2 linked regions of the Drosophila melanogaster genome follow. The protein of the gene in region 1 purifies or fractionates together with the protein of each later gene. This does not show direct contact. Each region holds a gene or a part of one and is shown on either strand. Other genes may lie near its edges.

Region 1 (8,264 bases):
GTATGTATGTACCAAGAAGCATTGCACATTGTTCTCAGTATTTTACTCTGAGCTGTACGGATTTTCTTTATGGTGCAATTTAGCAGCAACTCCATAAACTTGAAAGCCATATCTTCAAATCGGTTTGAGGATGGTTTTATATATAGCCAACTTGCTTTTTAAGGAGAGCTTGATACTAGGAGACAGGAGCCACGATATTTTCGCAACTTTTGACAACATAGCCAAAGTATAGATAATCCCAAGATATTTTCCATACGACTTATGCTCCAGCACGGATCCAAGATGCGTATATATTCCAGGTCTGATCGAAAACATAAACTTTGCTCATTTGCTACTGTTTATTCCTGTTTGTTCCAATCCTGCGTCAATTTTTCAAAGCAACAAACATACTCCTGTGGAAAGGGGTTTCTGACTAGAACTGCGGCATCATCAGCGGATGTTGCAATGAGAACGTCATCAGTGTCCACAGTTTGGACTGAAAAGCTTGACTCTCAGATGAATGCAAATACATAAATATTGTAGGTTATAAGTTACACCTTTCAATTATATATTTTAATTATATTACCCAAAACTTAAAATTTATCAAGCCAATTGGGCATCCTTCTTGGGAATATAAGCTGGGTAATAAAGCCTGGGCAATGGCTCCCGATAGACATGTCCAGTGGATGGATGGACCCAGTTCAAATCCATATTCGCCAGGTACACGTACTCCTGCCGAGAAATGCGCACTTGGCAGTGCTCTCCAGATAGATCCGCAAACTCCTCAGCCGCATAGTTGTCCAAATCGATCTCGTACAACTTTTCCAAGCAAGGAAGATGATGATGGTGATAGTGACCGAAGTCGACCGAAATGGGGAAACCTGCATCCAACTAGCACATCCAACTGCAGGGCCAGCTGGAAATGGTGATGAGCCTGGCTACTTTAGTCACCAGTCACTTTAGTTGGCTCCTCCTCCGTCGCCTGCAACGCCACCTGGCTGATGGTGCGCTTCAAGGAGTCCTCCGTTTGGGTTCATCGGAGTCGCCATTAAGAGCAACTTATTGTTAAAGTTCATGTTCATTAATCAATCTAAAATCTAAAGCTAGCTCACCAACTCAACTGAGTCAGCTGCTCCTTCAGCAAGATGTTCATATTTTCATATGGTTTTAGTTCTTCATTTACAGATACAGATACAGAATAGAAGATACAGAATAGAAGATTCCACATCATTGGTGTCAATGTCTTTTTCCTTTTGGAGGAAATATTCATTGAATATTCTCTAAAACTATATAAGTTATTATGCCTGAATAGAGTCGATCTTTAAATAAAAGCAAAAAACAAAACAATTTTAAACATTTAACCAACTAAAATAGAGAAAACGTAAAATATTGTAAGTGGAGTGTGTTATTCTTGTGTTTTATATGTTCGCAGTTGTTGAAATGTTTACTCACCAAATGAAAATATATGTAAGTCCTAGATAGGAAGGATATAAAAGAATATTAAATAAAACGAACATAGAAGATGGTTACCTTGTTCTCATGAAATGTGTGTTCTATTTTTATGATCCTAGCTTGATTTGGTGCTTATGTGCCCAGTTTATAGCATAATTTGTCATAATTAATTTGGCGTCCATCTGTGTTTAGTCTACTGTACATTTCAAAATGCTGCAATACCAATTGTAACCTATCATGATCGAGCAGCATTTCATTTAGTTTCTGCATTTCAAATCAAAAAAATATACATCTTTTATTTTAAAACTTACACAATCAATTGGCGAAAAAATCGATTGCTCGCCAACACTTCTATTTCCCTATAACAAAAGATGCGTTTTTTAAATAAATAAAAAAACCAGTATTTTTTCTGTAAAAGATTTACTTTGCTTGTTTAAATTTTTTTAATTAGAAATCAAATTAACCAAATTTAAAATTAGGGTGTCCATAATTAGTTGTCGACTTTTACATTTCAAAACATTTTCAAGAAGTGTAGGCGTGGCAGATTTGAGCGATTTGTGGGCGTTAAAGTGGAGGTGCCAACATTACTTGACAACTAACTTGCGCTGCGTATGCCTCTTAAATCTTCAGGTCTAATAAAAAATTAGCTTCACTTTCTGGTATCTCTTATAAATAAATAGGAAATAAAGCTATATTAATATTAAGGCATAATAACAAACATCGAAAACTTCCAAAATTAAGCAATTTAAAGTATCTTTCATTGAAATGTAGTAATAATGCCATTGCTCTTATGCTATTATCAATGTGTACTGGTTTCCCATGATACCTTACTATTTAATTTTATGTAAAGGGAACCTTACATATTTATGTATTGGATTGGAATTGCCACTCGTTTCTCGCAGTGTATCTGGCTGGCTCCACACATGGGCGCGTGTATGCTCTCCCCTTACTGACGTACTTAATTCTTCGCAGTTATTCAGGGGCACAGAGAACGCTTCACTTTCCTTCTTTTTTCGCCGGTGACGTAATTAATGATGCTAGCCGCTGAAATTTTAAAATGAATTGCACTACCAAGCAGCAGCTCCTTTCCATTTTGTTCGACGATCAGAGGTCTTAAAATCAAACTTCTGTCAACTGGCTGATGAATTCATTCAGTTTCTAACGTTCGCGATGGAGCTGAAATTCTTATTTTGTGTTCAACTGATTTTTTGAATACATATGTATATATTTTGTACTGAGCTCTGTTCTTGAGAAGGGAGAATCTATAGTCGAGTATATCGGTTACTTGGCTAATGGAAATGCGAACGCGAAATTTTAACATTTTTCTTAGGTAGATATTATTGGGGAATGAAATAAGAAACTATTTAAAAATTGCTTGGGTAGTTTTTGGCGGCTTGTGAGCGTTAGAGTGGGCGTGGCAAAATGGGTCAACAAACTGGCTCTGCGTCTATGTTTATGTATAGAACATGTATGCTTAATCTCAACATCCTAGCTGTACAATAAGACAAAAAAAAAAAAACACATTTCATTGGCATCAGAATCGTTAAGGGTAAAATTGTCACGACTTTCGTACCATGGTTTTGTTTGATTTGATTATGGTGATAACTAAAATTATTTTTTTTTATTGAAAAAAAATTATTGATTTTAATTTTTTTTGTTTTTGTATACATTCATTAAGTGAAAAATCGCCGTAAATTTGATTTTATAATTCGTTACACACGTTTTGTTTCAGTGCTTTGTTGCTGTTGCAACCCCTCAGCTGACGTTCCAGTCGAACATGTTGCATGACGGCTCGGCTTAGTTCGGTTCGGTTCGCTGCGACTCGGTTCGATGCGGCTCGAGCGGCCTGCTCTCGAACAGATGTGCGTCGCAGTGTTGTTGCAAACGCCGGTCGCGTAGGTTGTTGCTAGAGTGAAACGTCGAGCGCATCGCCCACCCACATACACATATGTACGTACTCGAGTGCGCGAAGCAGTCAGTTGTTGCCGCCAATTGAATGGACAGTCGCGGTTAACGAAACACGAAAAGTCGTCTCGACTCGCCTCGCGTCGCGTGGAGTTCACTTGAGTTGAGTGGCGGCTAGTGTGTGTGTGTTTGCTTTTTTTTTCGAACGCCGCCAAACACGCGGCTGTTGCGGCTGTCCCGGAGTGCATTACTCACACTTTTTTTTCGGTTACTTGCAAGTGATACCCCTTAAACGAAAACAACAACAAGCCCCCCCCACCCACACACCACTTCAACCCCCTCACAAGCAGCTAAAGCCAAAAGGTGATTATATTTGGAAAAGTCACGCCGTGGAGTAAATAACGGAGCGGAGAGCGGATCAACACAAAGCGTGGTAAAGAGAGTGGAGAGATAAAGAGTTAAAATAAGTGCATAGAGTGCGAGTGGGAGAGATAGAGCGAGCGAGCGGGAGGGAGAGTGTAAGTGCTGCCCGTGTGTGAGAGTGTGTGTGTCTGTCTTCATGTACGTATGTGGCTTCTTTCAATGGTAGTCGTGTGTACCCGTTGAACCGGTTCAACACTCATCTTCGACTTACCTGCAAAACAACAGAAGCAGCAATGATAACAACAACAACAACGACAACAGCAGCGACTGCAGCGTGGTTTGTGCTTGGAAAAACATGAAAAACTGAAACTGAAGCAAAATGCAGCATCGCCAGAAGCAGCAGCAACAACAAAACGAGAACAACAACGTGCAGCTGCAGCAATTGTAATGTCAAATGAATCAAACAAACTGCATCATTTGCGTTTCCGAAGGCAGGAAAATAAGGGAAAGGCAAAGAAATGAAGAAAACATACATATTACATATGTATATATAAACATATATATTTAGGTATATATGTACGTATGTACGTAAAGTGCAGTCTGCAGTTTAAAAGCCATTAACCCCCAAAAACTGAAGTAACGAACCATCCGCACGGAGATCGCTGTTTTCCCCACTGAACTAACTTAATTCGTTTAGCCAGAATACACTGATCCCGTTGCAAATTGGTGGCTAATATGCAATATGATATTTAATTTGCAACCATATATTCTGCATATTTCACGCGTGTGTGCGTGAGCGCTGTAGGGTTAATACGAGAGCGCTCACTACCTGCGCGCCCTGCCAAGGGTTAAGCACTCAGGCAAGAAGTTTCGCGTGTAATTGACGTTGCCAAAAATTAAGAAAGAAAGAAAAACAAACAAACAAACGCAGAACAAAACAAAACAAAACAAACCAGTAAGGGAAGAACAAAAGCACGAACAGAAATTAGAAGACAGCGAACAGAAGAGAAACTTAACTTTTTCTCTGTTCTTATTTCAGGTTATATACCCTTGCAGATGGCACATTAAATTCGGTATATCGGAATATCATGATCAGTATTTAGAGTCTAATTAACGGTCCACCTGTCCGTTTGTCTGTCCATTTCCATAAAAAAAAGTCTCAGTTTTATAGCTATTGCATCATGTACATAGCTGTCATAGGAAAAATAAGAAAATTAACTGAAAGTGATAAAATAATCATCGGTTCTTAATCATGAAGTATTGCTCGGTATACAGGTGTTTTGTATTATTACTGCAAGGGTATGTAAGTTTCGGCTTACTTTCTTGTTCGCTTTTTTGTGTGTTTGTCCATGCAGTACAGTTAGCCGCCAGTGGTACTGTCGAAGTGTGCGTGTGTTTCTGCGGGTGCTATTACCTTGGTATTATTGGTAGGTATGTAGGTGCGTGTGTGTGTGTGTGTGTGTGTGAGTTGGTGTTTTTGGCGGAGCACTTTTTGTTTTCATGAATTTATCCTTGGGACGAATAAGAACTGCAGGCGAAAGGAGCGAAAATGTAGCAGGAGGACAGGGGAAATCGGGAAAGCTAAAAACAAACAAAGGGATTAGCAAAGATGCGAATATTGCGGCCCAGAAATTAAGACCACAAGAAAAAGTGCCAATAAGAGTTGTTGGGAAACAATTGGAGGATATACCCACGCCCAAACATTTTTGATGTGTATGCAGTGTATGCATTCGCTTTGAGGAATGCTTCATCTGGTTTCATCAATCTTTTGACGGAAATGGAGTTTATACATATGTATACTATCCTAGAAATGCTATAAATTAAAATAGTGCGCGTTATTTACGGAAAATATAAAATCTGTAGTCAAAATTTATGTTTACTACCCTAAATTTTTATGGGTATTAAATGGTATAATATGATTATGGATCTAATTTTGGGGCGCCTTTTTACTACAAGCCAAATTAAATATGACAGAAATGGAATTTTTCGATTTAGGGATGCGTACGACTATTATGATTTCCTCATGACGAAAATAGATTTTCCACTTCAAAAGACAAATATTCCCTACTCTTTCTACTGAGTAACATAGAAAAGCGGTGCAGAAATCTACACTTAATTTTTGTCTCACAAAACACTTGGATCAAACAGAAACAACAAATTTGGTACCCATACAATATGTACAGTTGCCACAAAAACGATCAAGACCAATTAGAAATGTGTATGTATGTATTTGATTGAAAGCAATTATTAAACAAAATTCACTTAAGTATTGTTTTTTTTTTTATTTTCTACATGAACCATTAATCGAAATGATACTAAAAGGAACATGTGAGACATTTATAAACAAGCACTTGAAGCCATATGTACATACATACATAGCATAGATTAGTCGTCAATCTTATAGATAAAATGTTGTAAAAAACGTTCTGCAATAAATAAGATTTACAATTAAAAACCAAATAAGCACATGAAAGGGATTTTCTTTTCTATGGCTTTGAACATCTCACATCTGTAATATTACATTCAACCCAAGTAAGTGTAATTAAAGATTATCCAAGGAAAGCCTGAATAAGGATTTTAGAAAAATCATAAATAACGTTAAGCAAAAAGTACTTGAAGAGATTTACCTTCAATTTGTTGACAAGACGAGACGAGACGAAGTTTTCAGTGCGATTTGCGTCTGGCTTAAGCTGAATTTTTTGGCTGTATGCCTGTGGCAATTTTGTGGTTGGACTGTCAGTCAGTCGACTGCAGAAGCGACGAATTCGAAGTTCATTAAAACTACCTCAACATTTTAAAGTACAATTGGCTTGGGGGAACTGGTAAGCTTTTGATAGAGCTCGATTTTTTTTTTCTTTTATCAAGACAATGACCCGAATGCCGGAGTCGGAAATTGTTTAAACATCGCACGCTTGTAATTGTCACCGCATTTTTTCCACCGACGGCACTCGAAAAAGACGTTATCTAAATATTCGTAAACAACACAGGGAAAATAACAACAGCAAACGAAAATTATCAAACGAGTAGAGGGTACACTTGAGGTCATTGATTTGAAATTGGAATTGGTCGTATGTCAACTTGGGATATGGGAAGTCACCAAACAAAAAAGTGGTGATAAACGATGCATCAGCAGTCTTGTGGCATGTGTACATACATAGATGCGAACCAAGGCATTTCACACACACATTTCACACATAAGCTCCCAATGTTGAGCTGAATATCGAAAACGTTTTCGACTTTACTGGACTTGAGGCCAAGTCACTGTGTTCCACTGCAGAAGATGGATAACACCACCCAACCACCACCAAGTGCTCCTCGTAAAATGCCTGAGGGTTTCCCAGCGCAATGACAAAGAGTCTTGGAATGGCCATAACGGGATGCTTTCAAATTATCATTGGAGTCTATCGAACTCTACTATTGGTATTTTATTTTTGTATTTGTTTCATATTGGTGTTCTTGAAAGCTCAAAGAAGCTGGGGTCGGAAAAATCGAATTTTTGAAATTTGAAAGCTGGAATCGTTTGCCCATTTTTTGCCCATGTTTGCCCACCAATTAGTTTTTTTTGCCCACGTCCAGTTTTTGAGATATGAATTTTCGAAAAAGTTCGAAAATTTTCGAAAATCAAAAATTTCGCTTTTTTCAAAATTTTTTTTTTTAAATCGCAATAACATCGTTTGCCCACGTTTGCCCACCCTTTAGAATTTTGAAAAAATGTATACTTTAGAAAATATAAGGCTTTTAAGTTTACCTCGGTCTAATCAGAGAGTAAATCGTTTGCCCATCTCTTAAAACCAAATATTATCAACAAAAAAGGTTTGCCCAACCATTATTATTAGTTTTTTTCGTTTGCCCACTCTTAAAACTAAATAATTTCGATTGCCCACCTTTTAAAACTAAATAATTTCGTTTGCCCATCCTAAAATCTTAAGAATAAATAAATTCTATTGCCCACCATATAAACACGTGCCACTTTCCTAGTTTTAGGATCTGCCTACATAACACGTGCAGACGCACAGGTGTTTCTGGGTTTATATAGACCAAAAATTGGTTCCGATTGCCAATCTTGTAATTTACAGTTTACAAAGGGTGGGCAAACGAAATAATTTATTTTTAAAGGGTGGGCAAACGTTAAAAATGAATTTTAAAGGATGGGCAAACGAAATTATTTAGTTTTAAAAGGTGGGCAATCGAAATTATTTAGTTTTAAGAGTGGGCAAACGAAAAAAACAAATTTTAAAGGGTGGGCAAACGAAATAATTTATTTTTAAAGGGTGGGCAAACGTTAAAAATGAATTTTGAAGGATGGGCAAACGAAATTATTTAGTTTTAAATGGTGGGCAAACGTTTTTTTTGGAAATTTTTATTTTAAAGAGGTGGGCTAACGAAATTGGGTGTATTTTAAATGTGGGCAATCGAAAAAAAATTTTTGTTAAAGGTTTTTTAAAGGGTGGGCAAACGATAAAAACTAATAATAATGGTTGGGCAAACCTTTTTTGTTGATAATATTTGGTTTTAAGAGATGGGCAAACGATTTACTCTCTGATTAGACCGAGGTAAACTTAAAA
Region 2 (7,947 bases), on another chromosome or scaffold:
GGAGCGTGTTGGCAAATATTTGAACAAATATTTGGAGTGCATCGAACGCTCGAATGCGTCGAAAACAATCGCCAACTATTTCCCATATCCGTTTCCCTGTCTGTTTATTTTTTATTTTATAATTTTTTCAATTTACTCCGCTCTATTTTAGAGGTATGCCAACACTTTTCATTAGCTTTAAGGTCAACTATTTGGAGTCTTAACTAGAGGAGGTCATAATTACAGACCGCCGTCCAACTTGATGGCCCACAACGCCCACAAAGGTCGGCGGTACTTGGCTGAAACTCAAAGGAGCTGTCGGCTTTGTCAACTTCCTTGACAGTGCGGCCACGTGCGACACGCTCTAGGCGGAAATTAAAATTCTGGCTACGTTTCAAAGGCAACGGCAACAAAAGCAAAGACAAAGGCAGAGAGCAAAGGGCATCTAATAAACTTTCGCGCTCAGGCTATGAATTTTCGTAAGCCAAGTTGCCTTCTCGATTCCTCGAGTCCTCCATTTTCCACCAACATTGAGGCACGCGCTCATCGGTCTAGACACAAATCAAAGAACTACGTCTCGCACACCAATCAATGTTCGTCCTTCGCCGAGTGAGTACTGTAGAAAGCTCGTAGGACTGCCTCAAAATTGCATGGCCAAACTTTGAGGCTTGTATTAACGGGTTGTTATGTCATCTAATATAGTGTTATCATTTTTAGATTTAAGTCTATAATCATATATTCAATATGTCGCTAAAACTTTGAGTACCTGGATCTAGATTTGTGGGAATACAATAATACTACCGTCGCTAGTTGGACCCACTTCTGTGTAGTTTGGGAATCAGTCGCTTCTTCTTAATCTTCTAAAACTATACGAAACGTTTATCAATGGACTTGTTTAGCTGATGAAAAGTATCAGGTTACTGTAGTGCTTACAAAATAAGTAAAGCTAATCGGAAATGACTTCTCAAACGGCTATATCCATTTGTTGAAGTGCAAACTCTAGAAGGGATTGCTTTGCATGCAGCTGCTGCCACTTCTACAATTAAGCCAATGAAAGTTCGTTTATTGACCGAACCTGAGCTGGGGACAATTGTAACAGTTTATCCAAGTAAATAAACGGCTAAGAGCGGGTTAATGAACGGCCAACAGCGAGGGGTAAATGCAATTCAGTTCGCAGTTGGATTATTTATTTGCTCTTTGCCGGGTATTTAATGGAATAATATTGTTAAAAAGCTGCCGGCAAAAGAGCTTTGAAATATTTAATTAATTTTTAAAGCTGTACATTTAAGTTAGATGGTTTACGAAAAAAGAGAAAAAAAATAACTTTTTTGAACTTTTGATGATGATCTTTTTACTTATCAGGGAACAACTTGTTTTTAAATTTAATGATACTTAAAAACCCCGATAGCCCCGACTTTATAAATGAATTTAAAGAAATATCGTTCGATTTATTAAGGTGATTCACATAAGGATAACTTACTTCCACTTTCGGCGTTGACAGTGCAAGTAACGCATTTCACTACCCCTATCCTTTCGTCCTTCGTTCTATCTGTAAAACAAAGGAGCTTTTAACATGTCGGCCTGCCAAAGAGCAAATGTGTGGGTAAGTATGTGCGGGTGATTCGAAGTAACCTTTGGCCGATTAAACATAAATCCCTATAAAGCAACAAAGTAAAAATTGCCAACGAGCCAAGTAAAAACTTTGGCAAAGTGCTCAACATCTTGGAGCTTCGCTGCTTCCGCGCTTTCCACGCTCGATGGCAAGGACGTTCAGCTGGCTGTTGGGTGGCGATGATGGGTGACGATGGTGGGTGTCGGCAGGGCGGAGGCCTTTGAAGCCCTGTTAATGCAAAGACGGCGGGGCCAAAGGGGCGCCTGAGTAATTTATATGCCAGGCACAAGATCATCGCTGTTAGGGCATTAAAAACTTAAATAGTTTTAATGCGACACAAACTATGCGCGAGTGGAGCCGAGAACACGGCGAACAAGCCGCACCACTCCGCGCCCAAGGTGCGTATACTTAACGCAGCCTTAATTATTGTACTTCCCGACAAAGGAGAATTTTCGCGGAGGAGGACAAAGATTGTAAGCCAACATTCATAATGTGCAATGGCTCGTTTACTCGGCAAGACGACAATCTTGTCTCCTTGATGCCGGGCCAATGTAAATTTAAATAAAAATGCAGATGAAATCGGAGATACAAACTTAGCTACAAGCTGCCTACGGAATTGATTTGAATGACCAAGGAGGAGCACGCAAAGCAGAGAAAGCCCCGAAGAATAACAATAAACATTTCTATCTGCTTCATTGGTTATTTACTCATTTCGATAGAAGGAGAGGCATCAAACAAGAAAAACAGCGTAAAACGAAAAATTCCCATCTCTGGTTTTATTTCTATTTTTTTTCCAGTTTTGAAATCGCGAAAAGGACTTCGCTTGATGGCATCGAAACTAAAGCAGCCAAATAAGCAACCGCAGGGCAGGGTCTGCTGATTTTCTTCTGTTTTTTCCTTTTTCATACATATATATATATATTTTGTCGAAGACAGAAGCTGCTTATAAAGCAATATACAATTCGGGCAGCCAGGCAACAACAATCGAACCGAATCGATATTTTTCGCTGCTGGCTTTCGCCAACCGCCCACTTCTATATTTTACCCCAAGACTTCTTCTTGGCTTCGGTTCTGGCCAAAATGGATTTTCGGCACCTCCGCAGGGACCCGCTTCGCTCGGTGTCACGGGTATTTGGGCGGGGCTGTGTGTGGGCGGTGGGGAAATGCACTGGCAACTGAAGCCTCCGATTCCGGCCACATATCCCGCCGGCTGAGGACTTCAGCTTGGGAGTTTTCACGCCAGAGTCCGTGGTGAAGTTTTTCCACCCGCTCGGTCAGTCAGCTGCTAGTGTTGAGGTTGGCTTTTCAGGCTGTGCGCTTTGAATTTCCAGAGTGGCGCCGACTCCCTTAACGAGTGCTCTGTTATAACAACTGTGATACTAGGAGAGCATCCCATAGGGGGAAATTATCTGGGAACAGTTTGTATGATTGCTCTTATACTGAAAAGGGCCGGATATAAAATAGAACGGAATAGTGTTCACCAAGAAAGCGGGCAAGGAGATCACAAACAATAACAATAATAAAGATTTATAACTTAAAAATGTTGCCCAGGCATGTATATGTTTAAACAACATATTTTATTTAAATATATTTTATTATTGCATTTTCTTTAATCTCTTCATAACTACTGTATTCTGGTTGCTTCCGTTCAATACGAATATTTCCATTTTATATGTTATATCTATTTTATATGAATTTCTGAATTGTAGGTAAATTTTTATCAAGTTGTATTTAGTATTTATGTTACTTAAGTTGTCATATCAATTGTTAATAGTATGCAATTGACAAGTCCCGTTGATTTGGTTTTTAATAGGCATATAAATCACATTGAAAATATAAATAAGGTAGCTGAGAGACCGGTGAAAGTGGTGGGCGACTTTCCCTTGCGGCTCTTTCTCTTCTACACAATCTCTCGCTCTCTCGGGAGAGAGCGTGTATAACAGTTTGTTTGCCGAGTGAAAAACGAGGCACGAGGACGCTGCCGAGAGAGGAGGCCGAACTCCGCTTGGTTTCCACTTGGCGGAGGCGTCTGCCTGCCTGGAAATCCGTCGAGCGTTGCGGGCGCAGCAGTTGAAAAGCGTACGCCGTGAGCGACAGACACGCCGCAGTCGATCCGTTCGAGTCCGTTCCGCTCCGTTATTTTCGCTCCGAACCGGACGGATCCGTAAACCCGCCCGTGGAGCACTCCGCCGGAATTAGAGCTGCCAAGAGCCAAAGGTCCTGACCAGGTGGTCAACTAATCCGTAGTTAACTCAACTAAACCCGCAGTTAGCTCCTTGGTGCCTGGGTTTCCCTGTTTCTGTGCGTGTGTGTGTGTGTCTGTGTACAGTGGCAAGTGGAAAGAGGCAAGAGTTTGGGAGGGGGCAGCAGTACGTGTCGCCATAAGAATTTTCCGAGTGCGCCGGGTAACGCGAGACGGGAAATTCGGAAAACAACCTGAAATCCATTTGCCGCAATTTGAGAAGCCAGCGACAACAACATGTGTAAACGCTAACGAGCGCGAAAACGCGAACATTTTGATTGATTTTTGATTGACATGCCACTCAGCGCATGCCACCCACCTCGAAAAGTGACAAGAGAAAAATAACAGAGGGGGCAAAGATAAAATAAAACAAACAACAAACTTGAGGAGCACTCGCTGCAACATGTATTCACTACAAAATCAAACAAAATATTGAAACGTTGTAAGCGATTTCGGGTCTAAAAAATAATTGCCTCAAGGGCTGTCAGCGAAAGTGCCAGCGCAAACAGCAAAAAATACATATATATATTCCACAAACAAAATGCAATCAAATCAAGGCCCATAAAAACCGAACAAGGAAAAACCAAGTTGGGCAAAAAATCAAACAAAGTAATAATAAAAATCCACAGCATCAGGCGGCTAATCAACTGCCATATACATATAAAAAAAAAACGCTGAGTTTGGCAACTGTTTTTCTGGCTTCTCGGTTGGATTTCCTACTCCTTTGCTGTGTCAGTGTAGTGGTGTATTTTATTTGTATATGTATGTTTCATGTATATTTGTGCCTGGCTATGAAAAAAGGATAAAATATGCCGACATTGATTTTCTCCTGCGACAACAACAGCACCACCACCGTCAACATCATCGGCTAAACAACAAAAGCAACATCCTTAATAAGAATCGAGGCGAAAAAGTTGCAGGATTCGACGAGGGCAAAGTTTTTCGGACATTTTCGGTATGTTGTTTCTAATTTCTGCACTGTTTTAGTTATTCCGCTTGTTGTACATATAACTCAACAATATTGCTGTCAAAGTTCTGACAGTTTGAACTTTTTATATGCTCGAACTCCTCCTCATCTTAACCCGCATTACGATTTTGGGGTCGAAGGAGCCAAATTCGATATTTGTTATGCGCAAAGTTGCTTGTATAATTCAGTTAAATGCTTGTAAATAAACAAAAGTGTTCGATTTAAAAGAGTTGGCCACGAGAAGTTGGGCATTGTGAGGATTGGCTTCATTGGGGGATTGGCAATGAAGTTCACCAGGAGTTTGGACTTATAAAAGAGTTCCAACAACTTTGGACAGGAGCTCCAAATAATTGAATGGCCAGTATTTGTTTGCAGATACAACCCTTTTGGGAAGTAACCTTCGGCTCTTGTCATTAATTTGTTCAACATTCAATTAAGCTCGTGTAAATTACGGTTGTCAAATGGCTTGCGAACCAGATAAAGCCCCTTTGATAAGGTCATTTAATTACCAAACACACAAAGTACCCTGAAGAAAAACTTGCTGATATTTATTTGAAATGTTTGTGCTGTGGCTTTGGTAAATTTCAAAAAAAGGAAAGGTGCACGAACCACAACAAAGGAACTCGCCATGCCCCCATTTCTAACCTCCCCATCTGCTCGAAATTGGAACCTTTTTTGTGGCAATCGGGGGGTTAAACTGCAAGTATTTCGAAGCAAGTATTTTCGAAAGACGTGTGTTTGTCTCGAAATGAAATGGAATCGAGCAAATGCCGAAGGCAGTGCCTTTTCAACGCTGACGGCGTGCAAATGAGAAAATTCATTATTTAACATTAATTAGGGCTTATTATGCACATTATCAACACAGTGAAGCGAACACGCACACACGTATGCTAACCGCATTAAATGTCAGTCAAAGACTCGACTAAGTAAACACAAGCGTATGTAACTTTACTGTGTGTGTGATTCTGTGGACAACTATCAACCACACCAAGCCACACACACACACACAAATACAGGCTCACGGGCTCACAGCACAGGTGAAAGTTTTACTTTCCACTGAGCCCCCCACACCGAAACCCCCAAAAGGAAAGTCAGGTTCATAACTCAACGCCCATCAGTGGAAAGTGGAGGGGGATGCGCGGTGGGGGTGGCCAGCAAGGAGCAAACAGGAAGCGAAGCGGCAACGAAAAAATACAGGCAACTTATGGAAAATTTCCTGGCTTCAGCTAGACTAAATGCTACCCAGCTATTCCACTTTCCAGTAAAAGTAAAATTAAATTAAACTGTGCGTTTGAGGGAAAATGGTCTTATTTAAAATGTTTTTATTTTAATTGTTTTCATTTTAAATTTTTATATAAATCTGTTCAAATATTTTAAAAATTCTAAACCAATTTGTGCGCCCAAGTTTTTGTGCATCTATAAACTCCACTGCACGCTGACTTCCTGGCCCAATATGCCCAACACGATAGCTTTCACCATCCGCTGGGCGGAAGGTAGGGGGGGAGTGTAAATTATTCAGTAAATTGTTAAGTAAATAACACGAAGGGCGCACGTTAAAAAGCAACCGAAAGACAACAATAACAGCAGCCAGAACACAACAACGTGCACAGACATCAACACCGTCCAACTCCGACCCAACCTTGTCCTTGCGTCTAGGGCCGCCGTGGAAATTTACCTCTCATATATGGATATGGCGGTGGTGATAATGTTGGTGATTCCGGGTCTGATGATAATGATGATGATGATGTTCAGCAACTGAAGCCAAGGCGAATGATGACACGCCGAACAGTTCACGGCTCAGCGGAATTGCCGGCAGCAAATGTACAATAAAATAAACACCAAATGTGGAAAGCTAGCCCCGGGCTCTTCGAACGAAACGGAACGAAAACAAAGCCGGAAACGGAAGCAGCTATGAGAGTTCAGGGGGCTGGAACGACTCTGAACGCACTCTGAACCGAGTAAACAATGGCGAGAAATTTGTTAGCCCAGGAGCAGGAACCAATGCAGGAAAGTCGAGTGTAGACAAAGGCCCCATCGACTCATCTCGGTGTCCGTCCAGTCCACCCACAAATCGGCGATGATTGTGGCGGGTTGAGAGGAGATGGCAGTGGCAGAGCTACAAGTTGCACAAACAGATGAATAATTCCGTATAGGGAGAATTAAAACTTCAACCCGTTTCGACTGACTTAAGAAATACATTTAGGACAAATGCCACACCAAGCTTAGTGAAATTCGTGAAAAAAACTGAATCAAAATCAATTTAAGGGATTTCACGATTTGCGGTTTTGTAAACCGTAATAAAAATAACTTTCGAATTTCCTTCGCCTTTGACCTTGGTGTTTAATTGCGTGCTTACAATGCTTTTTATAGTTATGCAAATGTTTTGTACAATATTTGTAAAAGAAATAGTTATTTAAATATACTCTTGACTGTTCCAAGTGCTTTAGCAATGTATCCAAATTTGAACCAGGAGCCGTTTGCCTCCTCTAGGGAATTTGTACTTCCATTCCAAACTTCTAGCTGGCCATCTCGCTGAATATTGAAATTAGTTTCCGAAAAATCACTTTCTGAAATCTGGGTGAACTGTGAGGTTTTACGCTTCTTTTCGCGCTTGGGAGCGTCAACTCTGGATACTTTGGTGTTCTGGCGCCTTGGTCTGCTCACATTCCGATAGAGATCCCTTTCGGCAGGAGTCATTTTACGCCATAATGAGGCCTTTTCCACAATCATCAGACCGGGATTGGCTTGACCGGTTTTTCGCAGAAAGTTTTTGTAAGCCGAACCACTATAAATTATATTCTTTTTGCCAGCATTTTTGGCTGATTTTCTGGGAGTCACCAGAACTCGTGGTTTTGGTTTTAAACGCTTAATTGTCTTACGTATTTTTGGGGACGAGATCTTCTTCGCATACTTTTCAGATTTCATGGACGTACTGGCTTCATTAAATGCATTCTGTATTTTGGTTGTAATTGGATATACCGGATGCAGTGTAGCTGCATTTAAAATTTCGTCACGATTATGCACTTGATCACATAATTTTAGAACGTAGTTTTCAGGAGTATATTCTTGTTTTTGCTCAGCTGTCAGTTTATCCCACTCGACGATGGCCTGCTGAATACTTTCTCGGGGTACGGAACCATGAGCTAT

The links.
Region 2: the proteins of kek5 (region 1) and kek2 purify together in Drosophila melanogaster (affinity purification with western blotting; one study listed by BioGRID). This does not show direct contact.

Annotation. Positions count from the first base shown.
Region 1 is NC_004354.4:19,349,885-19,358,148, forward strand, and holds the start of kek5 (kekkon 5), read left to right. Parts: upstream 1-3,296; 5' UTR 3,297-3,769; intron 3,770-8,264.
Region 2 is NT_033779.5:11,578,315-11,586,261, forward strand, and holds the start of kek2 (kekkon 2), read left to right. Parts: upstream 1-3,622; 5' UTR 3,623-4,788; intron 4,789-7,118; exon of another isoform or gene 7,119-7,209; coding exon of another isoform or gene 7,210-7,947. Other genes in the region: Mst33A, read right to left, coding at 7,210-7,947.